2 linked regions of the Coturnix japonica genome follow. The protein of the gene in region 2 purifies or fractionates together with the protein of the main gene of each other region. This does not show direct contact. Links are inferred from orthologs where the notes say so. Each region holds a gene or a part of one and is shown on either strand. Other genes may lie near its edges. The genes, in order: EEF1B2 and EEF1A2.

Region 1 (13,897 bases), on a different chromosome or scaffold from region 2:
TTTATTCTTGTCAGTAGCTGGTCGGTGCATAGCAACAGTCCTTTTGATTTTTTACAAGTTGTGAGAGTATGGGACCCTCATCTCCTATCTGTGGGAAGGTTGCTGAACACTGGGCACGGCCAAGTTTTGCCAACTGCTGTTGCAAATAATTTAGACCGTGATGTTCTGCATTAATTCAAAAAAGCAATGTGTTTTGTGCAACTTTCTGCAAATGCAGGAACTGTTTGTTTGTTTTCTTTGGTGCTCTGAACATACTCATTAAGACCTTTGCTTACTCCAGCGTGGGTTACAGGAAGGTAAAAAGTCAGCAGCAGCCTGTTGGCCAGAGGTAAGCCTACACCCAGCATCCTGCTGGACAGGTATGTGGTGACGCCGCTGAAATACGGGCAGTAAGTTTCCTGTTCCTCTTGAAACTTCAGAAAAATCCTTCTATTGACGAATGAGGAAGAGCTGTGTACAAATTCATTTCCATTACAGCGCCTTGCTGAAGTGCTGACATCTGAGATATTTTTTTTGTAAAGCCCAAGTGCTTCTTTTCACATTTGAAAAAGTGTCTTCTGCAACTTGCATGGACAAGTAGTTTCTATGAATTCTCTGGAAATGTTAGTGTCTAACATGGATTTTTTTTGGTCCATGTATTTTTTTCTGAAAACAAAACCCCCCCACACACATTTGGGTTGCAGTTGGAAGGGAAGCACTCTGCGCTTTTGATTTTGGCGCTGCTGATGCAGTGGAGGAGTGCAGAGCCCGCTGTAAATGACTGAGCCTGCAAGACTCTGGGGAGCTGGGTGCTGCCGGTAACATTTTATTGTGTGTGCCATTTGAACCATCTTCCAAGTGAGTGCAAAACCCAATTTTTAAATTTTTTTAATTAATTGTACTTGGAATTAACTGTTGCTGTGTACTAAACCCTCTTGTTACGAGCCCTGAATAAAAAGAACAAAGCACACACTATGTGTTCCGTGAGTGTGCCAACCACTGGCGTCACATTCCTTGTCTTTTTTGCTACAGGCTTTTCAACATGTTGAGGGATGGGGAGACGCCACGTCTCTTGGCTGCAGGAAATTGCACAATAAGTTCAGGAGAGGAGCTCTTTGGCTTTGAGGCTGCGCACCCAGTTAGAGCAAGTAATTCTTTTGTTGCATCTGGAAGCTACTGCTCAGAGGAAAGCAGGTAATTTCCATGTAAAAGGACTGAAATTACTAGATTACTTCTTTCTTTTCTGTGGGACTTGTGCCTCCTTCCTGTTTAGAAAGACAAAACAGAAGGCTGGCCCTGCTACCTGCCTGTCTGGCAGAGAGGAAAGTGGAAAGAACAGGCACTGAAACAGTACAGAATGCCATTACCCGCACTCATCAACTCCTGCAGAAGCAAGGCTTTCTCTGACATTACGAGTCAAAAGGTACATACACGTGTAATTACAGCTATCCATTTTCAGCATTCTAGGATGAAAACATCTGCTATCTTTGTGTACAGAGTATGCTAGCTCGGCTTTCACCTATTCATTTTAGTAGTGCCAAAAAGATTACAGCCCCATGTTCTGCAGCAAGAAGCATCTTGCTGTATGTCTGAAATTTGTCTCCTTTGCTTTCTGATGATTTTAGCAGAGAAAATGGTAGAACTCAGAGACCAGTGCACAAGGGCAAAAATAGCTTACTTGTAAATAAGGCATAGATATTTGCTGTCATAAAAACAGTAGACACACCGGAAAAGCAAGTTATGTCAACAGGTCTCACAAGGTGAAAAGGCAGCCAGGTTTTCCAAACCACTCTGTATCCACATTTCAGTGCTCACCTGAAACACTTGCTATGTTTCTATCTGACTACTTACTAATGAAGGAAGTTGTATTTAGAAGGGTGCCACCTTTGCTGAAGCTCATTCTTCGTGCTGTAAAGTTGGTGTTCAATTTCTGTCTCCCAGCAAGCTCTTTAGCAGCCTGCAAAATTAAGCATGGACTTACTGTCTCATGGGAGATACTGCGTAAGTGAACTTGGGCACAGGAAAATAAAAAGAACAAGGCTCAAACACCTCTGAAAAACCTGCACTCATAACATTGCTCTGCCAAATGCAACTCCCAGAGGCACCTGTGCTGAAAGAACTGAAGAAAAAAGCAGAACTGTCACCCACCAGTGGAACTGTTTTGCAGGGAAAGAAAAAGAGGAGATAAGTGGAGTTCCCTGATTGCTGTCGTCTGGGAGCATGCACTGTGCCAGCTCCCATATGCACCCTACCAGGAAGCAGAGAATGCGCCTGCCTGCCTATCTCCAGTAGCGGCTGGGGAGTTATGACTGTCTGCACGCATTGTGCGCCACTGATGGGTATGAGCCCCTCGAGCTGTGTACGGTACCAAGCAGCAGGAGGACCAATGTAGAAAATTACAGCACCCATGAATTCCAGTATAGCTTAACAATTCTTCTGTGAACTTATTAGCCAGCTATACTGAGCATGCTCAAAATCAACAACACAAATGCTTCTAAGGACACTTCATAAGCACAAAAATAGTAGAAACAAAAATCTGTGAACAATCTGAAAGATAGAAAAAAAAGTGCCTTTCCACAGCAGTTGCTTTAAAAATGCACACAATGGTATAACCTTATTGCTCAAAAAAAAAACTAGTCTGAAATACCAAAATAATTTCCAGAGGTGCTGACAGATTTCAGAAAGGGATATGAAACAGGAAAGCAGAGACAGCACCATTGGTTTCTCTGTTTTCATGATGCACTTTTTAAATTTATATAGTTAATAGATGTGTCATTTTTCAATTCTATTGTACAACTTTTCCTCTACTGATAAATTTTCACAAAGACATTATTTTATTATTTTATAATGCTTGTTTTAAAAAACTGTAAAAAAAGGAACATGGGGATCCTTTAACAATATTTCTAATCAGTCTGAATTTCTCTACAAGAACTTTGCTTGTCTCTTATCTTACACATTTGAAGACACTGTCAGGTTAAACTACTGCCTTTGGTTTCCCTTTTGGGGTGAAGGAAAGCGTGTAATAATCATTTGCCTTTTGGAAAAAAGGTAAACAAGAATTAAAATCCTTTGACATCTGAGCCTTGGGTGGCATCCCGGCCGTGACCAAGGAAGTTATAACAACCAAGGTAGCCTGGGAACAGCAATGTTCTGCCTAACATAGCTTACATAATTGTGTACCACTACCTCTGTAAGGAGCATGCATAACACACAAGAGCACTTACGCTAACTACGCAAACTTACAGGCCATGGGCTAAAGCACATAGTGACACTTCTGAAGTGCAAACAAAGGACTCCGGTTACTGATGCCTGATTGTGACTCTGTTGGAAACAAAAAAACAAAGCCAATATTTCCTACTCATGCAGCCCCTTAAAGCTGTCTGCAAATGCTATTGCCTCTCAAGGATTTTCTTTCCAGTCCTCCCCTTGACTGTTAGAAGTGCAACTTCATAATTAACAGCTTAATGCACTGGTCACAGTTTCTGGCAGGTCAAAGAAAAGAGAAGCCATGCTTGCCTCAAGTTACCCATCTCCTCTCTGTCTAGAAAGCAAAGTTTCCTGACAGCTACAGATGAATTACAAACAGTGCTTTTAACTGCTTCCAGACTCTTGTTTCTGTAAAGGTAACACGTTATTGGGCACAGACTGTGTGAGGCTGCGCTATGTATGTTCATTTAAGAATGTTCATTTCAGAATGTAACACAATCTGCCAAGACCTACCTGTTAGTTGAGGGAAAAGAGTTACACGTATACAAGTGGTGCATCCACAGGGGTCAGCCTTGTGGGTTGGCACTGGTGCAGGAGTCCTGGCAGCTTTCAGAAGGGGTGAACACAAATAGTCACCTTGTGTCATAAAAACAAAAGGTCAAGCCTACTATAAAGTTAAGATGCATAATGGATTGGAATAACATACACTTACCCTAGTTACTTCATGGACAAATAACTCTGAAATAATTTGTAGCAGTGTATATCTTTAAACTATTTGGAAGGGAGGGGGAGGTTCCTTATAGTATAAGTATATTTCACTCCAGCCCACTATATATATAAAAAAAATGTTCCTTGACATCTTTCTAAGAATGATGTGTTTTAATGCTTCCTTTCCTGACTGTGCTCCAAGTGGAGTAATAAATTTCTATTAGCCCTGAAGAACACATTCATTTACTTTTCTCAGCAGCAACTAAGCTGTGACTGTTCACAGAACAGCACCATACTGACGTTCCTGAAAGATGAAAGAAAACCCTGACCTTTGTGTCACAGGAATTAAAGTTTATTCAGTTTTCTTCATGCACATTAGGTATATGAGGACAAATACACACAGTAACGAGCTTTATTTTCAAAGAAGAAGATTTTACATTTGCTTTGTCTTGTGTACATCGTCAGAAAATGCTCTACAAAGCTTTGCTTGGATTACCCCTCTGGATTAAAAAAAGCAACAAAACACTGCCAACATTTAACCACCACCTTAACCAAAAGCCTCCCCTAGATAATAAAGAATCTGGCCAACATCAGTCCTGGTCTGTGGAAAAAAATGGCCTACCAACTTTGTAAGGTGATTGCTACCTCCTTCATACCAACATCAGCAACATAGTTGCCACCATCCAACTCATTTCTGCAAGTGGAATGAAGATACCTAATCAGAACAGACAGCATCCTTGGTTTCCATTTCCATAGAATAACTGAAAAAGCCCAATTACTCTCCTACACTGCTTGGACAGAAGAATGCTCATTCAAAGCTCTACGATGAAAAAAAGGCACTCTGATTTTCCTATGAGATACTGCTGAGAAAAAAACCAACAAAATTCAACTGCAGCAGATTCTGTTCTTCCCTGCTTCATAATGCTTGTTCTTGTTCAGATTGCACTCAAGTGTTTCTGACAGTCTCCTTAAAACCCTGTTGCTTTAACAATAGAGTGGCAACTGGCAGCCCTTCTCAAAAAGAGGCACAACAAGATCAATAGTAGGTTTGAGATCTTTATAGTCATGTAGGAGCATGGGAAGACTATATTTAAGATCTCAAACCTACTATTGGTCTTGTTACAGGTTACATACACTCTAAGATACACGGTGACACTGTAGCAAGCTGTATTTTAACAGAGTAACAAAGTACTATCCGCCTGCATTAACTGTAGCCACTGCGCCCCATTAAACCTCACTCAAGCACATGGCACCGTTAGACCTCCAATGCCTCGGTCTTCTTGAAGGAACACACCGCCCTCTAGTGAACTGTACCTTAATTGCACCTCAAGGATCTCGATCCTGCTACTCAAGGTTAAAAACCAATGCTGGCCTGCAGTTCAAGGCACACCAAGGCCTTGGTCTTGAAGCAGGAATTATGCAGTACTGAGTAAGACACGTCCCTCCTCTCCCCCCCACACACACACAAAAAAAGCCAAACTTGAGGTTATTTCTATTTTTTAAACACTTTAGGAGAAAAAAAATCTCAGGTTCACACAATAGGAGATGGTGAGAAGTTACCCTGGCAGTCTCAGTCACATTAAGTACACTTCACAATCTCCAATGCTCTGCAGTCCTCATTGCTATAAACTGCCTTATCTTTGTCTTCATTCCTAAGTGACAGTTGAACTGCAGCTGTCAGAAGAATAAAGCCACCATACAACTATTTGGTTACTCATCATCCTTTCTATACAAAACTTCTATTTCTCTTAAAGTGCTACAGCCCTGTGCTTCTCCCTGAAAGCCACCTCTCCTGCCAGATTAATTACAAGTAGCCAAAGATGCAACTCCACTTAAAATAGAGGAAAAGGCATTTCAGATATTTAAAGCCATGTAAATGTTAAGCCTAGACATATGGCAACTGTCAGCTCTCTCTTTGCTCTGGCACTAAATACCACAGCGCTGGAACAATCCTAAAAGCCAATTGATTAGCTTTTACTTTACCCATCAGTCAAATTTTACATTAACAAACTGGATTGCACTATGACTTTGAATTAATGACAGACATGGCCCAATTTTTGCAATTATTTTTATTCTAAATATATGAAGACTCAGATCTTGTTGAAAGCAGCTACATCCATTGATTGTACGTAATCTTCAAAAGCTGTTATTCTTTCTTCCAACATGTCTGTTCCAACTTTATCATCTTCAACAACACACTGAATCTGAAGCTTTTTGATACCGTAACCAACTGGTACTAGCTTGGCTGCAAAACAAAACAAAAAAGCATTACACACTCCTCACTTGAAAATGGAAAGATGTAAGCAGCTGATAGCATTAATGGAGTTGGCCTAAAAGGTGTTTCTTTGAATCTTAGCCTTGCTGCTGCCCTAGCAGCTTTCTGACTAAGCCCTTTTTAAATCATCACTCTTGTGAAATTATGCAAAGAACACCTATCAGTTTGCTATTTAGTGGGTGCTAGTCCACCAAACACCACACACGCACAGCTCACACTATACATACTCTATGTAACATGGCAGTTAACTCACTATTTTAGCTACCTACATTATCACAGATGGACAAACAGTAATCCTAAGGCTACTTATTCATACAGCACCCCAACAGATCACGTGATCACCCTTTTCCCCACTTAGAATTTTACTTACAAGACCCCCAGACCAAGCCATCTGCTTGAATGCTTCGAACACACTCCTCTAATTTGGCCATGTCTGTCTCATCATCCCAAGGTTTCACATCAAGCAAGATCGATGATTTGGCAACAACAGCTGGTTCTAAGGGAAAAAAAAGGAGGAAAGACACCATTAACAGCTAGGAAACTTTCAGGAACTCAAGAATATACTTACAAATAACTTCACACGACTTAAAAAAAAAAAAAACAAAAAAACCCCTCATAACTCAGTCCTCTTGTACCAACATGCATTTTTAAGGGGTCTGAAAATATATATCCTGATGTTTAAGATGTAGATGCCTGTTTTTGAAAAACACTTTGAAAAGAGAACATAAGCTAACATTGTTTGTTACGTAGAAAGTCCTTCTTAGAGGATCTGAGAAGGTGCTTAATACTACGTAACAGTTTGTCTTCCACAGAGGGAATACTGCAACTGCTACAGTCCTGAACAGTTTCAGGCCAGTAACTGTGGAGGGACCTGCATGCAAGAGCCTTTCCTCTCTTAACTCACCAACTACTGATCGGCCTCCTTAGGTCAGTCTGCTGGAGTTCTTACACAGATGTGTTTTATACTACTTTGCATCTGTTTTATTTCAAGAAAACCCTAGGGTTCTCTTTTTGTAGTGAAAAAGCTTGCTCCTTTGGTAAGACAAAAGGAGAATAGGCAGGACAAAAAGCATGCTAATGTTCAATGATTTGCTATAGGAAAGGTTAAGCTCACAGAACTCAAGTAAAGCAAACCACTTCTGCTTCATTCCAGTAAGTCTGTAATAGAGAAACACTATTTCTATTCATCCTGTTTAAATGCATAACAAGGTCAAAGTTACTCAAACACATACTTTTGGACTTCTTTGATTCATACTGTGCCAGGCGTTCTTCCCTCAGTTTCTTCGCTTCTTCACTTTCCTGAAAGAGAAATACGAAGTCACAAAAGAGCACCAATCCCCCCCAAATCTTTAAAGCACTGTTAGATTGACTGGCATCTATCAGGAAAAAACAAATCATCACAGCTGTCAGCCGAAAGATGGTGATTTTTGTTTTATTCATCATGTAACCAGTCACAGCAGACATTTCAACACACTGTATTTCTTTCTAATGGAGAGTTCGTATGTTACATCCTACAAAGACATTGGAGTCTGGAGATCCTGAACAGTATCTGTTATTAAGGTCACAAATTAAAGTAACCTAAACTAGTAAGGTAAACACTTGCCTGTCCAATTGGTTCTTAAATATATACATATGAATAATACTAAAAGAGAAAAAAAGCACCAATACCTCTTCATCATCAGATCCAAAAAGATCAATGTCATCGTCATCTTTGCTATCTGTGGCTGCACCTGTTGTGTCCTCAACATCAGCAGGACCGTATTTCCCCAAAGCCTTCTTTATTCCTGGTAAGCTAAAGGAAAACAGGCATTAAGAAATTACTTATTTGTAGATATACTACTTCATTGTCCTTCTTAAGTACATTCATAGCAAAAACAGTGAGATAAAGAAAAAAGGGTTAATTTTGCTACTTGAAAACCTTCCCCAAAAAAATGCCTCTAAAAACACCTCAGTTGAAACGACAGCAAATCCTACAAAGATTGCCTGTCTAATCACTGATGGATCTTGTGTTATTCTGCTGCCCTGTGAGACAAATGGATAACAGAACTTCCATAATGGAATCTCCAATGTATTTTGTGTATGAGAAGTTATCAATTTCTTACCCTAAAAATATTTTCATTTGTTTAAATTAAAAGTAACAGAAAACATGTGGATAGCTCACAAGGGACCAAAATCCTATTGATTTCCTATTGTTACTAAAAAACTGCTGTTACAAAAACTGTAAAATTAGATCTAATTTTCAGTAATTAGGTTAAGTTTTCAGAGTGGGCCTTTTGAGGAGACTTTATCATCTCAGTTTATCATCCCATTTGGGTTTGAGAGCAGCGGTGTCTGAGCCACCCAACTTCACAGGAGCTCCCTCCAGAACAGGAGGGAGGCACACAGAGGAGGCAGTGCAGCAGAACTGACACTACCTGTGCTGTACCTTTCCAGAGAGGCCTGCAGTCACCATGGATGTCAATACAGCACCTTTCATAAACACTAAAATCACTAAAAAAGAGAAGAGAGAGCATTTGCTTTTATAGTCCCCCTTCTTTACAAGTGTTTTTACATCATCAATCTTCAATTTAGCCTCACCTTCTGAGATTAAAAATCTGAACAAATTCCTTCCTTATTGTCTTCAGGTTTCTCCCATAGTTCCTAAGTCTGATACTGCCCTTATGGAGCAGGTCAGCACTACGTGATTCCCAGCTTTCAGCACAGAGTAGGAGGCAGCAACAAGACCCAGGATTCCTTGTAAGCTTCTACAGGAGCCCCATAGAATCTGCACAAAGGCAAATTCAGCTTCCTCAGCTCTGAGCGGCCCCATAACGCCCCAACGGGTCTGCTCTGCTCCTGGACTCATTTCTGTTCCCAGAAGCCACACAGGACCAGCAAAAAGCCACTTCTCTCCAAGCTCAGAAACATCCAACAGTTGGCGCAGCACTTCACACGGGTGTTCATTCCGTGGTTCAATCATACCTGGCCTTTTGCTTTTCATACGACTTAATGTGATTGTACCAGCGAAGAGCGTGGAACAGCTCGGCAGGAGGCGGGGCCCCGACGGCTTCAAACACCGCTATGTCGGCCTGGGAGGGCACGTACCTGCGGGAACAAGCGGAGATCAGCCCCACGCTCAACACAAGGCGCCCAACCCGAGGGTTACACAACGTGTGTCCCAGGGCAGCCCCGCTGCTCCCCGTCGGGCCTCACCACGGGTCGGCCCGGCCCAGCCCTCCTCCCTCCCGCCGCCCCTCACCCCTCGATGTAGCTCTTGTCGGCCAGGAAATCATTGAGGACCCGCAGGCCGGCGGCGGACTTTAGATCCCCAAAGCCCATGGCGGCAGCGGCGCACAACACCACACCGCAGCCACAGCCCGCCGCCAAGCAAAGAGGCCCAGCGACCCCTGCGCTCGCCTTATATAGCGGCAGAACCCTCCGCGGTATCGCGCGCACACGTATCCTTCCGCCAGGAAGTGCCGAAATAGTTCCCGGCAGGCTGGGTGCCGATCCAGGGCAAAACCTGCTGGAAACGGGGCGTCATGGCAGCGGAGCTGGGTTACGGTGCGATGTGTGTTTCGGGAGCCCTGTCAGTGTCGGACTGCTGCTACAAACACCCCCGGTCGTATCGTCTCCCCCCGCAACGCTGCGACAGCGGAAGTTGCGGAGTTGGATGATGACAGCGGCAGCGGCGCAGGCGGAACTGGCCGAAGCGCCGCGTGTGACGGTGGCCGAGAGGGCTCGGCGGAACGGCGGAAATTGCCGAGTGGCGGAAATTGCCGAGTGGCGGAAATTGCCGAGTGGCGGAAATCGCCGAGTGGCGCATCCTAGCGGAACAACCCGAACAGCCCCGTTCCGAAAATTGCCGAGCGCGCTCTCCTGGCCGCTCGTTCCCGGAGATTGCCGAAGTAGCGGCGGAAAGAGCCGAGGCGGTCGCCATAGGGGCTGAGGCGGACGGTAAGGCCGAGCTGTGCGCAGCGGCCGCCCGGTGCCCGCCGGTAACGGATCGGCTGCTCGGCGAGGTGAGGCGCTGGGCTGCGGCCGTGGGCCCGGCGCCTTCGTCCCGCCTTCCGTCTTAGTGCCGTGAAGGGGCCGGGGGCTGCCGGCGGGAGCCGCCTGCAAGGTGACCCCTGCGGCCTGTTTGGAGGCTGAAGAGAGGACGTTCCAGCCGCTCCACCCGCGCCGCTTCTCTCCCGCAGGGCACCATGCTGCGCCTGCCCGCACTCCGCAGGGCTCTTGCTGCGGCCGCACCGGCCTCTGCTGTGCACGGTAAGTGTCGGCCCGCGTCCTCCGGGCGGGTGCTGGCTTTGAACGGAACCGGAGCGACATGGGTGCTGTGTGACCGTGAGGGCTGTGGGCTCTGCCCGACCGCATCCAACAGCCGGGGAAGGGTTTGCTACGAAAAGCTTTCCGCTGTCTTTCAGGCCGCACGACCGCTACGGCAGCCAGCAACCAGATCGAGGTGTTTGTGGACGGGCAGCCCGTGCTGGTGGACCCCGGAACCACAGTGCTGCAGGTGCGGGCACCGGCACGGCCAGCTTTTACTGCAGCTCTGGCTCAGAGCTTTGCAGCGTTCGGGCTCTCGGTTGCAGAAGCTCTTCTTGAAATCACGGAATGAGGTTTAACACGGCAAAGTGTAAGGGTTTGCACTTGGGTCGGAAGAACCCCAGCACCTTTACAGCGGCTGGGGTAAGTGTCCTGAGAGCAGGCTCGGCTGAGAAGAGACCGTGGGGTCCTGGTGGACGAGAGACGTCAACATGAGCCAGCATGTGCGCTCGGGAGCCGCGGAAAGCAAATGGGATGCCTGGGCTGCCATCGGAGAGGGTGGTCAGCACGGAAGGGAGGTCGATCCGCTCCTCTCCTACTCTGCGTCTTGTGTGAGGGCCGCAGTCTGGAGTACTGTGTTCAGAGTGTGGAGCCCGTCAGTACAAAAAAGACATGGAGATTTTGAAAGGGTCCAGAGGAGGTGACAGGAAATGATCAGGGGCTGGAGCACTGCGCCCTTCGAGGGACGAGGCCTGAGGGAGTTGGGTTTGGTTCAGCCTGGAGAAGAGAAGGGTTGCGGGGTGACCTCATTGCGCCTTTCAATAGCTGAAGCGGAACTTACTCCGCAGGATGGGAAGTAAACATCTTTCGAGAAGGGCGGATAATAGCAGGACGGGGAAATTGGTTTTAAGTTTAATGAAGAGGGAGAGATTTTAGGTTGGATGTTAGGGGGGAAGTTCTGTTCACTAGGAGAGTGGTTAGTGGAACAGGCTGCCCAGGGAGGTTGTGGATGCCCCGTCCTTGGAGGTGTTCAAGACCAGGTTGGACAGGGCTGTGGGCAACCTGATCTAGTAAAGGTGTGTGTTTGGTGGCCGTGCTAGGCAGGGGAGTTGGAACTACATGATCCTTGAGGTCCCTTCCAACCCGGGTCATTCTGTGATCTGTGATTCTGTTTGGAAGGGACCTGAATGCCCACCCGGGTTCCACCCCTGCTGTGTTCACATCGGGCTGACCGGGCCCTGTCCAGCCTGGCCTTGAGTGCCTCCAATTTCGTGTTGAATCCAGTCTACAAAGCTGAATTAATATGCACAAGGCTTAAATAAGTTCTGGTTGAAGTTCCAGCTCTGAATGCTGTCAGCTATGGCAAATTCCATAAGCTACGAATGTTACGCATTCTAGTAGCTGCAGCAGCTGTCTGTTTAATGGCTGAACTGAGCATCATCATCTGCTGCTTTTGTAGCTCAAAATGGTGTTTTCCTTTTTTATGTACTTCTCCAAAAGTCCGTTTTTCCTTTAAAACTTTGTTTTTGCTTCTGGTGTCCTATCTATTAAAAAGTTTTCCCTAAACTTTGAGGAGGAATTGAAACATTGTTTCCTTAGCTAGGTCTTCTGTTGAGAAATAATCATACTGGTAACCTTCCATATTACTCTTTGCTTACAGTTTTTAAAGCTTATTCCTACAATAGCAAAGAGCTTAGTCAGATTGAAAGGTCAAAAGCACTAAAGCTGCTGTTCTTTGAAAAACCCCTTGGCTGTATGTGCTGTGTGTTACTGAATGATGTAACTGTATTTAATTTCCCTTTGTTCCTTATTCTTTGTAGGCCTGTGAGAAGGTTGGGATTCAGATCCCACGCTTCTGTTACCATGACCGTCTCTCTGTTGCTGGAAACTGTAGGATGTGCCTTGTGGAAATAGAGAAGGCTCCGAAGGTGCTGTGTATGTTCCATAAGAAGTACAGTTTTCTGCTGTACTTTGAGCCTAGTTTATACTGTAAATGCTTGTTTTGCCCAATGTTAAGCACAGAAATTCCTATAATTAAGCCATTTCAAGCAGATCTTCCCTTTTCCCACTTCTAAGCTTATCTCTGTGTTATATATGTATTAGGACCAAGTTATGCTGGGCTGCAGTGATTCACTACTTTTAGGCTAGTGAACCGTCACTCAATTTCTTATGATTATCTTGTTTCTGGAGATGAGCATTTGATAGCTGTGTATTGTCAGATAGGTTTATATGTGCAAAACCATGACACAAGGTGAGACTCTCCGGCTCACACCAGCTTGAATTCAACAGTTTGAGCTTTGTATCTCTGGTGGTTTTGTATCATTGCAGACTGAAATGATGGTCTGTATCATGAGGTGAGTGGAAGGCAGGAAGGATTCATTTTGTGGGCAGGAGTTTTTGTTAGTTTTGCAGTAATCTTGTGAAAAGTTTTATTCCAAGATTCTTGGGAAATGTTGTATCCAAGTAAGTGCTCGGTAACTAAATGATGCACTGGATCCAAAGCTTTCGGCTTCAGTGCTAGAGACTTTCAAAATGATGTACCTCCAATATTTAACTTTATATAGTAAGTTATTAGTATGACTTTTAATGATTCTGTATTGGTTAGATTTTCCTCTTTTTATTTGTAGTTGTGGATACTTTTTATTTCTGCGATGTGTTAAATTAATAACAGGTGCCTATGTCAGAATCTGGGGGGGAGGCTGGGATTTATGCCCATACTGAGAAGAAATATGTTGTGCTCACACTTGCTGTTTATGATGATTGCAGCCAGTAGCTGCTTGTGCCATGCCAGTTATGAAGGGCTGGAACATACTGACAAATTCTGAGAAGTCCAGGAAAGCAAGGTACCTTTATCTTAGCCTCCTGTGGCTGATTACTTGTGCTGTTTGCTGGTGGGTATGGAGTGGATATTAACAATATTCCTGAACCCAACAGGGAGGGTGTAATGGAGTTTCTACTAGCAAATCACCCGCTGGACTGTCCTATCTGCGATCAGGGTGGAGAATGTGACCTACAGGTAGGACATCCAATCAGATGGTGTAGGTGTATGTTAGTGTTCCTGCCTTAGGTGGGATTGTGCTGTCCAGCAGCCTGGATACGTATTTGATTTGTTGTTGTTGTTTGTTCTAGGATCAATCAATGATGTTTGGCAGTGATAGGAGTAGATTTAGAGAGGGAAAACGCGCTGTTGAGGACAAGAACATTGGCCCATTAGTCAAAACAATCATGACTCGGTGTATACAGTGCACTCGATGCATAAGGTAATGTCCTTTATTTCTCACTGGAGAGAGTACTTAAGCAGGAATATCTATGTAACTTTGTTACTTGTTAAAGAAATGTGAGGGTGTATGGGAAACTGGTAATCACAGCCTGAACCTGTGATCAGCTGAGGCAAGTGTTGGGTCAGCTGTGGGAGCACAGGTGAGAGTAATTTAGCTGTGCTCCTTGAAGGGGTGGAGCTTGACTCCACCTCCTCTAGACCTC
Region 2 (17,634 bases):
TTTGTTTTTCCTTTTTCCCCCCTAGTACTCAGTATTGCACAGAGAATGCTGCATAAAAGATATCTTCCTATCACATCTCTGAGGAGATACCACTGAACTGTAACATCCAGGGAAAGAAAAGTCTCCCCTTAAACATTATGAGATCTTAGTACCATTTTCTTCTATGTGATGTGTGTTTAACCCCGAGACTGTCAATTGAAAGTATGTGACTTAGCTGCTAAGCCCACTGAAAGACATCTGGCCCACAAAACTGGTTTGGACTATGAGATAGATTAACTCAAAATTCACTCTCTTTTGACCTGTTTTTGGTGTTGGGACACAGAAAATGTTGTATTACCTTGTAACTGCTCAGCTGACATAGGCATAAATACTCTGACCACCACCTGATATTTGTTAATGCAAAGGAAGCATCACGGTAGGGCAGTAGGACGTTATTCATGGTTTCCTTGTCCTGGGACTTGAACCTCATCTCCCATTAAATTAAATGATGTTCACAAACTGTAGATTCTTGAGCAACAGCCCTACATATTGCAAGTGCAGAAACATATTTTGCTTGATTTATTCCTTCACTGTTGGCTCCTGGGCTAATGCATTTCCACTGAGGCAGAAATGTGGGTCAGTGCCCACAGGACTGAGCCCAGGGACATGTGTGCCCCTGCAATGACCTGTCCCCATCTCACTTGCTGGGAGCCCTGGGCTCTGTGCCTACACCAACTCCATCCCTTCACCCCCAGGTTGCCATGAGGGTTCCAAGACCCTGTTGGTCTTTGCCTGCCCTGATCCCCCTGGATGACGAGCTACAGCATTTCCACTCATAAAAAGTACTTTCTTATATCTCCATCTTCCTCTTTGCCCTCCACCTCCCTAATCTGTCCATTTGCTCCATCCTTTCCTATCCCACTTTCATCTTCCATCCCTATAGCTCTCCTGGCTTTCCATCTTTCATCCCTTCACCTTCCTCCCATTCCACTGTCTCCTTCTTACCCATTCTCCATCCTTCCATCCCTCCATATTCCACTGTTCCATCTCTCCTGTTCCTCCTATCCCTCTATTCCTCTTATCCTTCCATATCTGCCACCCCTTCATTTCTCTCATCCCTCCATCTTCCTCCCATCTCCTTACCTCCTACTCCTCCATCTCTTCCGTTTCTCTCTTTCCTCTTTTCCTCTGGTTGTTCAATTTCTCCCTCCCTCCATCTTCCTCTTCTCTTTACCTCTCATCCTTCCCCATCTGCATTCTCCTCTCTCCATCTTTCCTCCATTTCTCCTATCCTTCCACTCTTCTTAACCCTCTATTTCTCTCTCCCTCCATTTCTTCCCATCCCTCCATCTCCCACCCTTCTACCTCTCCCACCCAGCTGTCTACTGCTCCTCCATCACTCCTCCCTTCCTCCTATCCTTCTATTCCCCCTATTCCTCCCATCCCTTTACCTCCAGTCTTTACATCTTCCTCTACTCCAGCTTTCCCCCGTTTCTCCCATCCCTCCATTTTCCTCTCATCCCTTTATCCCCCATCTCCTCTCCATCTCCCACCTCTTCCAAACACCTTCCATCCCCAATTCTCCCCCTCCGTCTCTCCCTGCTCTCTCCTCCTCCTTCTCTTCCTCCTCCTCCCCCCGGCTCGCCTCCTCCTCCCCCGCCCGGTACCGCATTGCCGTAGTGCGGGGGGGCCGCTGCATTGCGCTGCCGCCGTCAATAGGTGGGCCCCTCCCGGGGAGATAAAGCCGCCGGAGCCCAAGCTGGCAGCCTCTGCCGCCCCGACCGCCGCTCCGGTAAGAGCTCCATTTCCCCCACCCCCGGGATGGGGCTGCTTGAACGGGGGGGGAACCTGCTGGAGGAGGGGGTTTGCTGGGGTGGGGTACGATGCGTGTACATGGGGTGCTGTTGGTATCGAGGATGGGGGGGGGGGGACCCCTGGGATGGAGGAGGGATGGGGTTGGGCCGTTTCTTCAGTCCGCAGGTGGGAATGCAGCCTGTATCCTGAAAGCTCGAGGAAAGGAAAAGGATAACTTTGAAAAGAAAAGAGAAAAAGTGAAAAGAAATGAAAATTAATTAGAAACGGGGAGGGGGTGGGGGGGGCAGGGGAATATCTAATAAAATTAAGAATAAAGAAAGGGGGAGGGGTGGGGGGAGTCGGGAGAAATGAAAAAGAAAAAAAGGAGAAAAAAAAGAGAAAAAAAAAATCAATTACTGAAAATAAAGGAATCCCCGCTTCCCCCTCGCAGAAGGGAGCGCAGCCGACTCCGGGCACCTGCGCTGGGCTGCGCCATGGCCGGATCCTGCGCTCGTTCAAGGGCAGGGAGGAAGGCCGGGGGCAGAGGGGCTATCACCGCCCCCCCGAATCGCTGTGAGAGCAGGAAGCTGCCCCCGACCTGTTTTGCTTCTATGGGCAGCTTCATAAAATTGGATTTTATTAGACGTCAAATTAAAGCTCCTAATTGTGCAGTGCTTCTGTAGCGGCTGTGGCACCATGGTAACCCTGGGAGATGCCAGAACAGATCTATTGATTTTCATTTTAAGCCTCCTCCCTCTGTTTCATCCAGATTCAGGGCAGCAAAATACCACAAAATCCCCCACAGCGGGCTCAGCTATGCTGCCCTGCCCCTCTCTTTGCAGCCCTGCTCAGGGCAGAGTGAGAGGGCTATTTTTGTCCATCCTGTTATTTGGGCATCATGTTATCACCCAAGAGGTGAAGGCACCCAGTGGGGACAGGGACGGGCACCCATGGCTCCTCCCAGGGTGCCCACGAAATGGAGGATTTGGAAATGGAATAGAGTTTGGAAAGACCTAGAAGGCAGCAGTGAAGAGCAATTGAAAGGTTGGGTTTTTTTTTTTCCCCATAGAGGAAGGGCACCTTCGAGGTACCGATGACGTAGCCTTGGGAGCTGGGGGTCTCCAGGAAGGCAGATGATAAAATCATGGTATCTTGCTGAGAGCTGGAAGCTGGACGTGGTGACCAGAAATAGCCTGGCCAGTCTCCTCCGGGGGTGAGCTGGATCTGTCCCAGCATGAGCAGAGCCATCGAGCCATGGCCACGCACCCCTGTCTATGCTGGCAGTGCTGTCGTGGAGGCTGTGCTGACGCTGCCTTTTTAATTCTCTTACAGCCTCTCCATATACACAGCTGCATCCCCAGCGCTCCCCCCACCGCCCGCCCTCCACACGTAGCCCACCAACATGGGGAAGGAAAAGACTCACATCAACATTGTCGTCATCGGCCACGTCGATTCCGGCAAGTCCACCACCACCGGGCACCTCATCTACAAATGCGGGGGCATTGACAAAAGGACCATTGAGAAATTCGAGAAGGAGGCTGCTGAGGTGAGGAGAGTGTCCCCTGCCATGTCCCCTGCTCCGTGCTGATGTCCCATGGGCAATACGCCCCTTGTGATGCCATCCTTGTACCTTTCTCCCTTTGTTCCTATCACTTTATTCCTTCTGCATCCCAAGTCTTCCCAGCTCCTGTGGCCCATTGGTCCATGGGGTGCTTACCCCCTAGTGCTGATCCCCACCTGGGGATTTAGAAGATGGATTGTGGTACCAGCAGTAATGGCGAGGATTCTGAGAGAGCCACAGTGCTACAGGGCGTGAAATTCCCACTAAATCTTGTGCATGAGGAGGAAAACCTGATAAATCCCTTCCTGCCCTGTGCATGACCATGAATTTCACCCTGTAACATCCCCTTCCAGCATCATGGGGCAGCCAGCATCAGCTGGAGTGCAGATTTGATCCACTTGGCTAAAGAACCATCCCCTTAATGGGGGTTGATTGGTAGCTCTCTGTATAGGAAAGCTGGCATGGAGCATAAGCATTTAAGTTGAATTCTTTTGCTGAGCCTCTCTAATGGTGCCATTTGAAGCAATGTCATAGTGCAGGCATTTCTCGGGCACTCATGCTGTAAAGCACCACCCAGCACCTATAATGTGGCATAGATCAAAGAGGAATAAACATTCTGGGGAACAGAGGAGAACATTGTGAATGGGAAGAGCTGGGAAATAAGTGATGGTAAATTCTAGAGAGGTGGGTGAGCCAGGAGCAGGCTGGTTGTGTTACCCATGGGGTGGGTCTGGTCAGAAGAGATCTCACCATCATCGTGTCATGAACCTTCCATAAATCTTTAATGCAGGCATCTCTTAATTTAGCTGGACAAAACCTCTTATTTAAAAGAAAAGAGAGAGAGGAAAAATGAAAAAGAAGCTTTCAGAGCTGCCATTCCTGATAGCACATCTTGCTGTCTGCCTCTTTGAACCCTTTGAATGTGCCAATAGCATCTGAGCTACGCCACCCCTTTTCCTGCCTCATTGTCAGCCTTCTCTTGCAGCCCTTAAGAGCAGAGCCTCTTCCTTAGAATAAAATCCTCTCTCTTTGCTTCGTGTTAAAAGGATAGAATCACAGAATCATAGCTGCTATCCCTTGCTATATTTCCAGCCCCTTACCTTTAGATCAGGTATGGCACGATGAGGTTATCACGGACGCAATTGCAGCTGCATTAATTGAGCAGACATTTCCCCTGACTTGCTAGAATATGCGGGGACTGGAGCTGCTATTAATAGCCTATTGACTGAGCTTACCGACTCCATTTTCTGATGCAGGGCTGGGGAAGGGTTTTCTTCCATTAGGTGGCATTCTCAGGAAATGGAGGCCTGTGTGCACCCAAAAAAAGCTATCAGAAAACACGGTCCGATATTTTTAATTATTATTATTTTCTTTTTCCTTAGAAGAAAGATCTTATTTTTCTTTATGGCTGGGAGGGTAGAAATAACAGCATCTCCGAGAGAGGAATTGCTCTCTTTATTTTATTTATTTTATTTTAAAGAAAATAAACCAAACCCAACAGTATTTGTGATCTCCGAATAGGAAGCTGCCCCTTTGCTGGGGTCTGGTGGAGGAAATGCAGGCAGTTCTGGCACCAAACAGTGAAGGCATTGTGCAATGCTAGATGATGCAGTGGGGTTTTTTTTCTACAATAGCTCTGGGTAACTGAATACACCCCGTGGAAGGAGGGGAGCTGTTTGCTATATAAAGGATCTCACTTGTCTTTAGGTTATGTCCAATGGCATGTTCTGTTGGGGGGGGGGGGAGTGGTACACAGAATGGACTGCTTTTGGTTGGGTATGGATCCCTGCAGTTCCTATGAGAAAATCCTGGGTTTTAGGATCAGCTGTGAGTCCCAACAACCAGCTGCACCTGGGGCCTATTCTGTGCCTCAGCTACCCCACCCCATAGCATAGTGCTGATGGCTGAAAGGCTTTGGGGTTCTCTAGCTGAGCTCCTGCCTGAGCGCTCCTCATTATTAATGCACTGCACAAAATAAATCCCTTTTTCCTTAACCCTCATCTTGGCTTGGGCAGTAAATTAGCATGCTCTAATGATGCCCTAGATACCAGCAAGGGAGGGAGTGGGTGTGCATGCTGGAAAGGGTTAACTTCCCAGCTCCCATTCTGCATCTTTTGCCATATTGGAGCAAAGATGTGATTCTGGATTTTTCCACCCCCTGCTCCTGCAGGCACACAGCTCAGGGCTGCCCACTGGGGCTGCAGCATCACCCAGCACTCCCTCTGAGGAAGGGGAGGTTTGCTCTGGCTTTAGGATTTTGGCTGTAATCCCCTCCCCGAGCAAGCTGCAAAGTCATCGCAGCGCTCAGCTGTTACATAAAGGGGCTGGCACTGCTAATTCCTCGTGCTGCACAGGCACAGGGCTGCGATTCCATCCCGGTACAGGCGGGGTGCATTGGGTCCAGTGCTGCAGCATCCTCCCCTGTGAGCAGCACTGGAGCGCTCATCTCCTGCCAGCAAGAGGCATTTCCCTCCGGCCTGGTGATCTATAGTGGCCCATTATGAATTTTATGCACTGATGCTCTAGAAGAAATCGCTGCTGCAGACATGGGATTGTGGTACAGCACCTCCGTCCTTGCGCGGCAGTTACAGCACATTACGTCATCAGCAGATGACCTATTTCTCTAGCTGAATTCTATTTTCTACCTTAGAAAACTTGCCTCTCCAGCCAAGATCTGGTGATTGATGCATGTTAACCCTCTGGTCCGCTTGGGCTGTCCTGGGGCACAGTGGAGAAGGGCTGAGCTTGTCCTCCCCTATCGGTGCAGGATCCCTGTTTAGAGCTTGGGGAAGGTTTGGCTCTGCTTAGTGGCATCAAAGTCACCGACCCAAAGGAAGCGGCATCATGTTTTTACCAGGGCATGTGCTTTATTGCAGGGCAGAGAGATTTGCAGTGGCTCATCTCACCCAGCGTGATTTTCTACCCGACAATGTTGGCTGGGATTTTGGCCATTTGGCAGTGACAGTTGGTCTGACTGCAGCTCACAGTCACTTTTCGTGCAGATTCGCACACTCTGTGGCAAAAATCAATCACGTTTCTGTTCAGCTCCTAGCAACCCTCTTGCATTTCATTTTCTTTTAACCCATTCCCTTGCTACATCCTATTAGTTTGGGGTTCCTCGCTTAGCAATGGCTTTTCCTTCTGTCCAACTGTCTCGTGTTCACTTAGAAGATTAAAATACAACAGCAAGAAGCTTTCCAGCACTGCTGGGTAATTCTGTATCAATGTAATTTCACAGCAGCCCTGCAGGGTTGTGGCATCTCATGGAGGAGACATTGCTGGTCTCCAGCTTCTTATCCAGTCCCACCACAGATCCTCTCCATAGCTCTGCTTCCAGTCTCTTCTCCATCTTCCTGGGGAATGTGTTTAGAACCATATCTCTTTTCCTCTGTGTGAACTGACATATAGATTATGTCTGCCATTGACTTCAGGGGGTTTGCAATGTGACCCTTGGCCTTCATGGCTATGGGAGATTGACCAACTCTGACCTTTGTCTTGGCCAGATGGGGAAGGGGTCCTTCAAATACGCCTGGGTGCTGGACAAGCTGAAGGCTGAGCGTGAGCGTGGTATCACCATTGACATCTCACTGTGGAAATTCGAGACCACCAAGTACTACATCACCATCATCGACGCTCCTGGACACAGAGACTTCATTAAGAACATGATCACAGGCACATCCCAGGTGAGAACGGGAGGCCAGGAGCTGCAGGATGTGGGAGGCTGAGGTGGCATCAGTGAGTGGTGGTGAGCAGGGTCCATGCAAGAGGTGGCATTAGGTCCCTTTCTGGATGCTGAGGAAAGGGTTTATTTGGGCAAAAAGGAGTGCTTTCTCTACAGCACTTCCCTTGCTTGTATGAGCTGGGGATGAGTATGGACTCAGAATCAACAGGATGTTGTGAGTGTCTCCAGGGTAAGGTAGCTTCCCCCTGCCATACTGTACTGCAGGGCATTTCTGCATCCCAGAGCCATTCATGGGCACTGGGTGAGCCTTGCTGCATGCCCCTGGAGACCAGCTTTAGCCAAATGCAGATAGCTTCTGTCATTGACACCAAGGACAGGATTAAGATGTGTGAGTTCCTCCATCAACCATGGAGACTGCTGAAAAGACTTCAGGTGGGGTTTGAGGTGAGGCTTTGACCCTGCATCCATGGGATGTTAAGATGAGGTCCTGATTAGATCCATACAACTTAGAAAGATCCATCTTGTAGTCCAACGTGTTGCAAAAAGCATGCACAGTTGGCAAGAATAAAATAACACGGGTCAGGGTTGAGGTAGATCAGCAGGGTTTGGGGTAGCAGCTGGCAAGGCATCTGCCTAAGGCATGTTTGTTCTGATTAATGTTCCCTTTGGGACATGCTCAGAGCTCCCAGGAGCAGCATTCTCAGGGACAGCAGCAGCTCATCATCTCTCTCCTCCCAGGCTGATTGTGCTGTACTGATTGTTGCTGCTGGTGTTGGTGAGTTCGAGGCCGGTATTTCCAAGAACGGGCAGACCCGCGAGCACGCTCTTCTGGCCTACACCCTGGGTGTGAAACAGCTGATCGTTGGTGTTAACAAGATGGATTCCACTGAGCCCGCTTACAGTGAGAAACGCTATGATGAGATTGTCAAGGAGGTCAGCGCCTACATCAAGAAGATCGGCTACAACCCAGCCACAGTTCCCTTCGTGCCCATCTCGGGCTGGCACGGGGATAACATGCTGGAGCCATCCCCCAATGTAAGTGTGTGATGTGTCGTGTTGTTCCCCCACTTTAAGTGTCTGTATCCAGGCTGGCTTTGGTGCTGTGAAAGCCACAGACATGCTTCATGCACCTATCATGTGCAACTGCCTGCTTTGCTGGTGCAGATGTTTGTCATGTCACTGTGATTGTGCTGGGATGAATGGGCACAGAGTGCATGCTTCTTGTACCACGACCAGACATCCCAGTGGCTCTCCATGAGCCTCATATGATCAGTAGGGCTGTGCTCCTGGGATCTAATTTAACAATTTTGCTTCGTCAGACCTGTGTTGATGTTAGAGCCATCGACAGCAATTGTTATGCTCAGCAGGAACAGCATGAGTGGTTTTAGGGCACTGTTTTTCCAGGCAAACAACACGATCTGGTTGCAGGGTTGGAGCAGTTCTCACCGCACAGCCGGGCTAACATGTGCTGCATATTGGATGCTTCTTTGCATTGGTGCTGTATCAGCTGCACCCATGTACCACTGCTGGGGCTCCAATTTTTAAGGCAATTTTTGCATGGGAAGGCACTGTGATTTCCTTGAGCATCCATTTAGGGTTTCTCCTTGGCCAGTTGATTCCAAATTGGCCTCTCCCTTTGTGTATCAGTGCTGATGATGCAACGATAGGGTGCTATTTCTTCATATGACGGCAGTGGAGAAAGAAGAGATTGAGGAGGCATGGGGGTTCTTTGTCAGAACAGATGCCAATAGCAGTTGTTACATCTCTTTTTGGAGAAAAAGCTCCCCCAGCTTCAGTCTTCTAAAGACTAAAGAATGTCTTGTGACCTTGAGCAAGTTGCTCAGTGCTGAAACACAGTGGTACCTTGGGAAAGCAACTGGAAACTCAACGTTTCAGGGAGATTTAGGACTTCACTTGTGGATTTGGGGTCAGCATTCAGAAAGAAGGGAGGCAACGTGTCCAAGTACAGCCAAGGGAGGTTGGGATTGAGAGCCTGAGTTAGAGGAGTGCTGCAATGCAGCCTCACACTGACCTGGCTTGTAGCTCACAGCCTTGCACAGGGAAGACAGTTCATGAGAAGCTTGGGGATAGCTTGGAACAAGTGGTTTTTTCGGAGATTCCTTTCCCCTGTACAGTGGAGCTGGGATAAGGTCAGCCGTGGTCACACCAAGCCCAGCTGCATAGTTCCTGGGTGCCTCCAAATCAGGCTCCAAATGTCAGCAGCTGCTGGGCAGGGAAGATGATCCTGAACAATTTGCTATTAATAGGCTGCAGAGGGGAGGCACAGGGTAGGATGGGCCTCACTGACTTCGTTCCTCAGATGGGAGGCTGGGAGAATAAGGGTGGAAGGCTGTGGGGCTGGGGGTCCAGGGAAGCAAAGGATGCTAAAAGGATGCATGGACATTCTGTATCCCATGATGTGGTCCTCAGGGTCCCCTCCCACATCTGTGGGGACAGAGTCCACCTCCCCACATTGCACTGCTTGTAGGAAAGCTTGGGTGGGAATCCAGTGCAAATCTTTCTCTTCTTAATCCTCACCCCCCAAAAAAGCTCCTATTATTCTCACTCACATATTTCCAGCTGAGTTTCACTCAGCAAGAGGCAGCCAGGTGACTTGTCTATCCAACAGGGGACAGACGGCCAAGGTTGGGGTTGGAACTAGATGATCTTCAAGGTCCCCTCCAACCTAAGCCATTCTGTGATTCTATGCTTGTGCAGTGGTGTTGCAGCTGCATCCCATCAGGCTGTGTGGACATGGGGCTGGAGCCAGCCCTACATGGGAGGATGTTGTCCATGATGTAGTCTGTGATGGAAGATGAGCATGTATGGGGTACAGAGTAGGCAAAACTGGAGAAACTGCTTTGTAAAATGGAGTGCAATGGGAATTAAAGCTCAGCTGTTAATGATGGGAGCTTGAGCTTGCAGCATCCACGGCTGACAACACAGGGTTAACACACAACCTATCAGACCGTGTTACGTCAGACCCTGTTTCTGCCATGGAGCTGTGGAATAGTTATGGTTCTTGGGAAATGGATTTGGGGGCATACACGAGCAAGGTTTTGATGTGTAATGTTGTGCACTGGGCGACAAGTAGCACCCAAGGATCCAATGCTGGGCAGAATAATCTGTGACAAACCATTCTGCCTCTCAGCAGCTGTGAGGAAACTCAGTGGCTCTGCAGTCCATGTGCATAGGGCTGAATACATGTGGCTGGTGTGGGAAGGCAAAACCTTGTCATTAGGAATGGAGGCTGCAGGTTTGCAAGGTTTAACCAGTTTCTTCTGCTCATGGATGATTCACATCTTTCTAGAAGAGAAGGGAGAATGGGGATGGAGCTGGATGAAGGGATGCAGGTGAATATGCAGAGATGCTAGAATGCAAAGACCTTACCAAACCCAAATAAATCCAGGCTGCAGCTAAACCAGCTCCACACATTTTGTCCTAATGGGACACCTCAGTGGGACCATCTCAGGGTGTTGAGGACAGGCACACTCAGTGCAAACTGTTGCTATTCTGTTTGCAGATGCCTTGGTTCAAAGGCTGGAAGGTGGAGCGCAAGGAAGGCAACGCGAGCGGGGTGTCCCTCCTGGAGGCCCTGGACACCATCCTGCCCCCCACCCGCCCCACAGACAAACCCCTGCGCCTGCCCCTTCAGGATGTCTACAAGATTGGAGGTGGGCTACCATCAGTGTGACTCTTTTTAACTGTAGCCTTCCTTCCACAGGGATTTGGGGATGATGTTTCCAGGCACGGGGAAGCTGGAGGGATTGGACTTATTGAACTGCAATTAAAACTGGGTGGAGACCCCATGTGAGACTTTGGGTTGGAGGCAGACGTGTCCAGTTGCCCAGAGACCTGAGATGATAGCACTGAGCTCTTCTCAGTGAACATGATGTCAAAATGGCTGCGGATTTGGGTGTCCCAGAGGTCACGGCTGGCAGAACCAGTTGGAGACCAGCCAGGAATGAGATTTTGCTTGGTTGTGGTCATTGGTGCTCCCAAATGCTGGTGTCCATCAGCAGCACCTTCATGTGCCCAGCTGCACCACGGGACCAGCCTTTTAGGGAACATGGACAGTGACGTGGGCACGTCTCAGGGCTTTAAATATCCCTTCGCTCTCTGTCCTGCTGGCAGCACTGGGCAGCCCTGCAGAGCCATTTCCAGTCCTTTCCATACTTTCCAAAGAACACGTGCATTGCAGAAATCAGCCATGTTGAGTGTTGCTCCCTTGCTTTTAGGAAGCATTTTAATGCAGGCTTTTGTTTGCAACAGAGATGAGGGATGGTGGGCAGCTCTGCATCCTCCTCCACCCCAGCTGGGGGAAAGACAGGGTTTTGCCAAGGGATTAGGCAGGTCCTTAGGAAGCAGAGACACTATGGGAAGGGTGGAAGTGAAGGCAATAGAGTTGGTGTGGAATAGTGGATGGATCCCACCAGCTTCTTTTCCAGGTTTTTTTCTCATAATGCTTCTTCACCTTGATCTAAAGGTGCATTTTCCACAAATCTCCCATTGACACAAGGTGTAGAATGTCCCATTCATCCAAATAGCCATCCTGTCCCCTCATGCAGTGAGGATGATGAGTCAATTGAAAGCCATTGGAGATGCCCTGCTGCCCATCACATGCTTCGTGGGTGACGTTCTGCTCTGATCTCTCCTTGTCCTTGCAGGAATTGGCACAGTTCCTGTGGGCCGAGTGGAGACCGGCATCCTGCGACCTGGTATGGTGGTCACCTTTGCACCTGTGAACATCACCACTGAAGTGAAGTCGGTGGAGATGCACCACGAGGCACTGAGCGAGGCCCTGCCTGGAGACAACGTTGGCTTCAACGTGAAGAATGTCTCTGTCAAGGACATCCGCCGTGGGAATGTCTGTGGGGACAGCAAGTCAGACCCGCCGCAGGAGGCAGCACAGTTCACGTCTCAGGTCAGCTGATTAGAGTTCTATTCTGTTCCATTCCACTTTTGCTCTGCTTCCACTCCATTCCATTCCACTCTACTCTATACCCTTCCACTCCACTCCATTCCATTTTGTCCCCAACATCCAGCAGCTCACAGCCTTGCACAGCTGACACTGAGGAGATAAAACCTAGGGGAGCAGAATACCCACCAGGGAAAGATGCACATTCTAGAGGTTGCCTGGGGTTTAAGCCTTGGGTTTGCAATTTGCACACTGGTGCATGTGAAAATGGTTGCTCCCTCTCCCAAATGCAGCTGGCTCTGGTGGAGAGCAGGACTAGGTAATAACTCACAGTGAGGTACCTGCACCCATGTCCTTCTGGGTGCTGAATAAATAAATAATAGCTTAAGTAACACTTTAAACAAAAGAAGGATTCTGCCATGAAAGCCAATTAGCTCTTCTCTGTGTGTGTAGCAGGAGATGGCATTGATTTCCAAACCTTGCAGGTCCTTGCTGGCACCGAGCTATGCAAGACACCATAGCCGAGTCCCTTTGGATCTTGTTGTGTCCCATAGGTGATCATCCTGAACCACCCTGGGCAGATCAGTGCTGGATACTCACCTGTCATCGACTGCCACACCGCACACATCGCCTGCAAGTTCGCTGAGCTGAAGGAGAAGATCGACCGACGCTCTGGCAAGAAGCTGGAGGATGGCCCCAAGTTCCTGAAATCTGGAGACGCTGCCATCGTGGATATGATTCCTGGCAAACCCATGTGTGTGGAGAGCTTCTCCCAGTACCCACCCCTTGGTAAGGGAATGGCTCCTGCGTTGTGTCCCATGGAAGAGCATGGAGGCTGCTTGGGTGCAGACCTCACGCTGGTCATACTGAACCTCCCACTGATCAGATGGGGGGCAGAGGGAGGTGAATGTGTTCCATTGCTGCTCCATCTGCAAAATCTGATGCATGAGCTGGGTTAGGGTGGGTGAGACAGGCTATCTCCTGGGCTGGGTTTTCCCTCTGGGAATCACTGCAACCCAACAGTGGCTATGCAGGAGTGTTTCTCAGCTTCCTGACACAAAACTGATCAGGGGAAGAATCAGAACCTTTCAGGGGCTGGCACAGTCATGTCACTCACATCCTCCTCCATTCCCCAGGCCGCTTTGCTGTCCGTGACATGCGGCAGACCGTGGCTGTGGGCGTCATCAAGAACGTGGAGAAGAAGAGTGGCGGGGCTGGCAAAGTCACCAAGTCTGCCCAGAAGGCCCAGAAAGCTGGGAAATGAATTGTGGGCTCCCAGTGCGTAGCGCAGAAACCATCCCTGACACCAGGACGCTGCCACCGTCTCCCCCCGGCGCATGTGTGCACATCAGCTTGTAAGAGTTTATATGTCAACGACTGGATGCTCACCATTAAGGTCCAGTGGAAATTCTTTAAAAGGAAAAGCATGTTCCAGCGTTTGTGAGGCTTCATGTTAATTTTACCAATAAAACTGGTACAACATCCACAGTGGGAAAAAAGAAAATAATAACAAACAAAACAAACCAACCAACAACAACCAAACCAAACCAACCAACCCCAAAGGTGTGGAGCTCTGTGTGTGTGTGTGTCATTGAGAGGGGCTGGTTTCTTGGGGTCTGTGTGGGAGAGATGTTGGGATGGCCATAGCCAGGGATGGGAGCATCCATGGGCACCCAACACCAGCCATTCCCTGGCTCTCACCAGGTTTATGGGCTCATTTCATTGACATAAAGCAGGGACTGCTCTTGCAGTGGAGGTTTTGATATTCTCCTTAACCTGCTCAACTCTCTAATATCAATTAACAGGGCCCTTAATTATTATACTTTCCATTCTGAATAAGCTGGAGTTAACCCCTTAATGTTATTCCACTTAAAGGGAGAAAACAGCAACCCCATGCGTCCTTGAAAAGCTAGCGATATCACTTTTATACTATTTAATAATGTTGGGAGAAGTGTCCAAAGATTTCCTTCCCCCACCTGCAGCAGATCCCCCAAAAGCCTTTCTCACCCAAAAGAAGCCATAAGCAGAGGGCAGAGGTGCCCAATGGCTGCCCAGAGCCCCAGAATTCAAGGTGTCCACCCAGGATTGTGTCCTGGTCCCACTGCAAAAGTGTAGAGCAGAAGGTTTACCCACAGAGCACAGGATACCTGAACAACAGAGACTGCACCTGGGGGGAGCTTAAGACTGACCAAAGGGTGGGATGTGATTTAGTGGCCATGGTGGGGATGGGTTGGTGGTTGGACTGAATGACCTTAGAGGTCTTTTCAACCTTTATGATTCTATGATGCTGAGTGTGAAGGTAGAGGAGGTGTGAGGGGCTGCTCGCACTGTGCTGTAGTGCTCTAGGGGCATCTCCAAGGGTTGTTCCTTGAAGGTGGGGCTGGCAGCACACCAGGGCATCATCCTGTGCTTCTAAAGCAGTACTTAGGGGAAGTAGCATCCACCTGGCAGAGGAAGCAGGGTGAAGGACGGCACTGTGCCAGCTCCTTCCCAGGAGGACCCCAGAGGCAGAAGGATCATTACTGTTTATGTTGCAGGAGCATCTCGTTAATAACAGATGCTCTGCAGTGCTGCGTGCCCCAGGCAGAGCCCCAAGTCACCACAATCCTGTGCCAGCTCACCGTGCTGCCTTTCCCAAAACTGCACCCGCAGAGCACCAAGGTTCCACTTTGTACCCACTGCTGTTTCCAAGCAGGATGGCAGAACCTCACCCGATGCACAGCTTTCCCCCATCCTTTAGCAGTGGGGACAGGAGCTCCCATGGGGTTGTCCCTGCTGTGCTGTGCCTCCAGCTCTCCTGTCCCCAACAGTAGCTGGTTCTGGAGCAGTGGGGAGCTTGGGGTCAGGCAAGAGACGTAATCAAACACAAAGTCCAAACCTGGTCCTCTATAGCTATTTTAAAAGCAAAAACAAGCCTGACAAAACCATGGGTATGTTTCCATAGAAATATAGCAGGGGAGCTGTGAAGATGCTCTGGGAGTGATGCACAAGCAGTGCAGTAATTAATGGTGTAGCTGCATAAAGGGAAAATTGAAAACCTTGAGGGTTTAACTCAGATTAGCTCATGGCTCACAGCAGGTTCGAGATTGCAGCTCTACTTCTGTGCAGTTGGTACCCTGGATAAACTGTAAGGTTTGAAAGAAGATATGGGGCCTGAAGGGAGATGCCTGGTTTGGGAGGTTTGGGCTTTGCAGAGAGCCAAAATAAACCAAAATGTTCTGATGTAGGCCCATTTCAAAGCAGAAGATTGAAAAATCAGGCATGCCAAACTTCTGGGGGTCTTGACTCAGAGCAGAACGAAGCCATACCCTGCCACCATCCAAACCTCAGGTACAAAGACTCATCATGGACCTGGTCAATCACTGCTGTGCAAATCACTGCCCAACCCCATGAGGCAAGGGGGATGGTGCACTTATTCTGGGCTGGGACTGACCCATTTTGGGCTTCTATCAAAACAAGAAGCAGCCCAACATGAACAGGGCCACAGATGGTTTTCAGCAAGCCCTGCAGCAAACAGAAGCTGATTGGTGAGCCATCAGCACCGTGCATAAAGCAGGCAGGTGTGGTGCTGCCTGTGTCAGGTGGTGATGATGATGAGGTTACAGGGCTGTGCTGAGGAAATGCATTTTAAAACACTGACTTCCCCTTCCTGCTGTGCTCAGGTGTGCTGGGACCTCACTGAAAGCTCAGATATTCTTTTTTCCTATCTACCCATTTTTATTTCATTTTTAAATGGTGGCGTTTCCCATCCCTGCCCTCCTTGCTTCCCCTCAGTACCAGCCTCAGCAATGCCATCTCGTGGTAACAGACACGAAATCCTTCTGCAGAGATAATTAGGGACGGGAGATGCAAACCAATGATGGCCCTTCTGCTGCAAAGCCCTGCCTGACAGCAAATCCGCAGCAAGAGCAGGGAGCTGCAAAGTGCTTATTGCTGTTTCTCTGGGGACTGGAGTTTGCAAACACAATTGTGTTACCCAAAACTTAAAGCTCAAAGGGGAAACAACAGTGACTGGAGGTTGCAGGTAAGTCAGAGAGCACCAGGGCTGGCTCTCCCATAGTGCAGCCCATCAGGTGTTTGAGAACCCACTGGGCTGGCTGTGTGCTGTTAATTATTTAAGTGAGTTTCATTAAGCTTCTGGAGCTGATTGGCTGACTCAGCAGGCATTTGGGCTGCTCTAAAATATTGATGAGGCAGCTGCAAGACTGCAAGTGGAACCCATGTTGTAGATGCTGAGCTGGGTGAATTCTAGCTGCCTTTCCATACTTGGCAGTGGGTTCAAGCAGCAGCTATGGTTTACCTGCAGGTTAAGCACAGTACCAGGGCACTGCTGGCCTACAGGCTGACCTTCCATCCCATTCCTTTTCCTTTAGAAGCCAAGTTATGCTTCCAGCATCCCCAGCAGCCATCGCTGGTCCTGCCATTGCTGACCCATCCCTGGTAGATGTGGGAATGATGTAGGTGCAGCTGGAATTCTGCAGCTGCTCTGCTCCTGGGCCTATGTCTCTAGAACTTTCTCCTCATTTCCTTTAACCACCTCAATCTGCATCCTCCTCCCACTGCATTTGGAGCTGCACTTTTAGCGTGAGCCCGGGCTGCTTTTGCAGATGGGGTGGCACAGAGTTCTGCAACGTGTCCTGTCCTTCTCTCAGCCTGTGCTCTCACTGCATATGCAAATATTGCTGACCTGAAGCAGAAGCTCAAGCTGCAGCACAGCCCAGGGCTGAGCTCTTTCCATGCACCCACCTGCCTTCGGTGATCCCCCCTCAAACTCTCTGAAACCATGCAGCCAAAACTCATTGCTTCACACAGAGATGCTGCAGCACCTTCAGATTATTTGTTTCAGCTTCATTCACAAACTGTCCTTCCATGTACCAGCCTGCCTGCAAATTTAGGCTGGCCTGTTTTCTTAGTCTAAATTATATCCAATCTCCCCTTGTCTGGCACTATTTTCATGCCTTCTATCTGCTGAATGCTCTTTGTAGCGCTGGCCAGAAGAGCACTTAGGTTTGATGAACCTGGAAGCAGCCAGCCTGCAGGACAGGGTATGCCAGGGTCATCTGTAAGAAGGGCAAAAAGAGGAGGATGAGCCCCAGCTACCAGCACGGCTGCAGGTTGATGAGTCTCCCCAGCTCTGCATGCTGTCAGCACACACAGGGAGATGCTGAGTGAGACATTCTGTATTCACAGCCTGGTGCCCAGAGGACAGGAACATCCTTTGGACCGGAGAGCACAGGATGAAGTTGCAAGAACACAGCAGGGACTGCATGTAAATAAGGCTGGGAGTCAGGAAAAGCCGTGCTGCAAATGCAGCATCAGCTACATCCAGAGGAAAGCCCCACAGAGGAAAAGCTCTCAAGCAGCAGGACCAAAGGGGTCCAATATCCTATGGGTTTGTTATGGAAAAGCGTGGCTGAATTTTCTGATGCCTAAATGGGTTTGTGGCTGGGTTGCCATCTCCATCACCAGAGAGACTTCAGGATTTGTATCCTCTTTGGTTCCATATCCTCTCCCAGCCCCCATGCCCCTTTCCATCCCCACAGCAGCCCACCAAGGTGGGGCAGAGCCCAGAAAGTCCCCTCCTCTCTTGCCTCAGTACCATTTGGAGCCTATTTATTTTTGCTGGATGTGTTGTTTTCCTTCTTTCATCGCTGCAGAACAATCTACAAGAGGAATCCAGCATGCGCCTGTACCGCTCAT

What was found.
Region 1: the proteins of EEF1A2 (region 2) and EEF1B2 purify together in Homo sapiens (co-immunoprecipitation; 4 studies listed by BioGRID and IntAct, counting the BioPlex papers as one, with this or other methods). This does not show direct contact. The link is inferred for Coturnix japonica from reciprocal best matches to the Homo sapiens genes EEF1A2 and EEF1B2.

The regions. Positions count from the first base shown.
Region 1 is NC_029522.1:11,925,339-11,939,235, reverse strand, and holds EEF1B2 (elongation factor 1-beta), read right to left. Parts: upstream 9,594-13,897; 5' UTR 9,488-9,593; coding exon 9,408-9,487; intron 9,254-9,407; coding exon 9,131-9,253; intron 7,962-9,130; coding exon 7,838-7,961; intron 7,621-7,837; exon of another isoform or gene 7,539-7,620; intron 7,469-7,538; coding exon 7,402-7,468; intron 7,037-7,401; exon of another isoform or gene 6,903-7,036; intron 6,666-6,902; coding exon 6,540-6,665; intron 6,140-6,539; coding exon 5,985-6,139; 3' UTR 4,293-5,984; downstream 1-4,292. Other genes in the region: NDUFS1 (NADH-ubiquinone oxidoreductase 75 kDa subunit, mitochondrial), read left to right, coding at 10,354-10,417, 10,573-10,664, 12,235-12,342, 13,181-13,257, 13,349-13,430, 13,544-13,674. UniProt on the Homo sapiens protein: Catalytic subunit of the guanine nucleotide exchange factor (GEF) (eEF1B subcomplex) of the eukaryotic elongation factor 1 complex (eEF1).
Region 2 is NC_029535.1:8,078,029-8,095,662, reverse strand, and holds EEF1A2 (elongation factor 1-alpha 2), read left to right. Parts: upstream 1-1,079; 5' UTR 1,080-1,771; intron 1,772-3,105; 5' UTR 3,106-3,175; coding exon 3,176-3,319; intron 3,320-6,837; coding exon 6,838-7,017; intron 7,018-7,754; coding exon 7,755-8,051; intron 8,052-10,539; coding exon 10,540-10,690; intron 10,691-11,683; coding exon 11,684-11,940; intron 11,941-12,488; coding exon 12,489-12,723; intron 12,724-13,070; coding exon 13,071-13,198; 3' UTR 13,199-13,420; downstream 13,421-17,634. UniProt on the Homo sapiens protein: Translation elongation factor that catalyzes the GTP-dependent binding of aminoacyl-tRNA (aa-tRNA) to the A-site of ribosomes during the elongation phase of protein synthesis.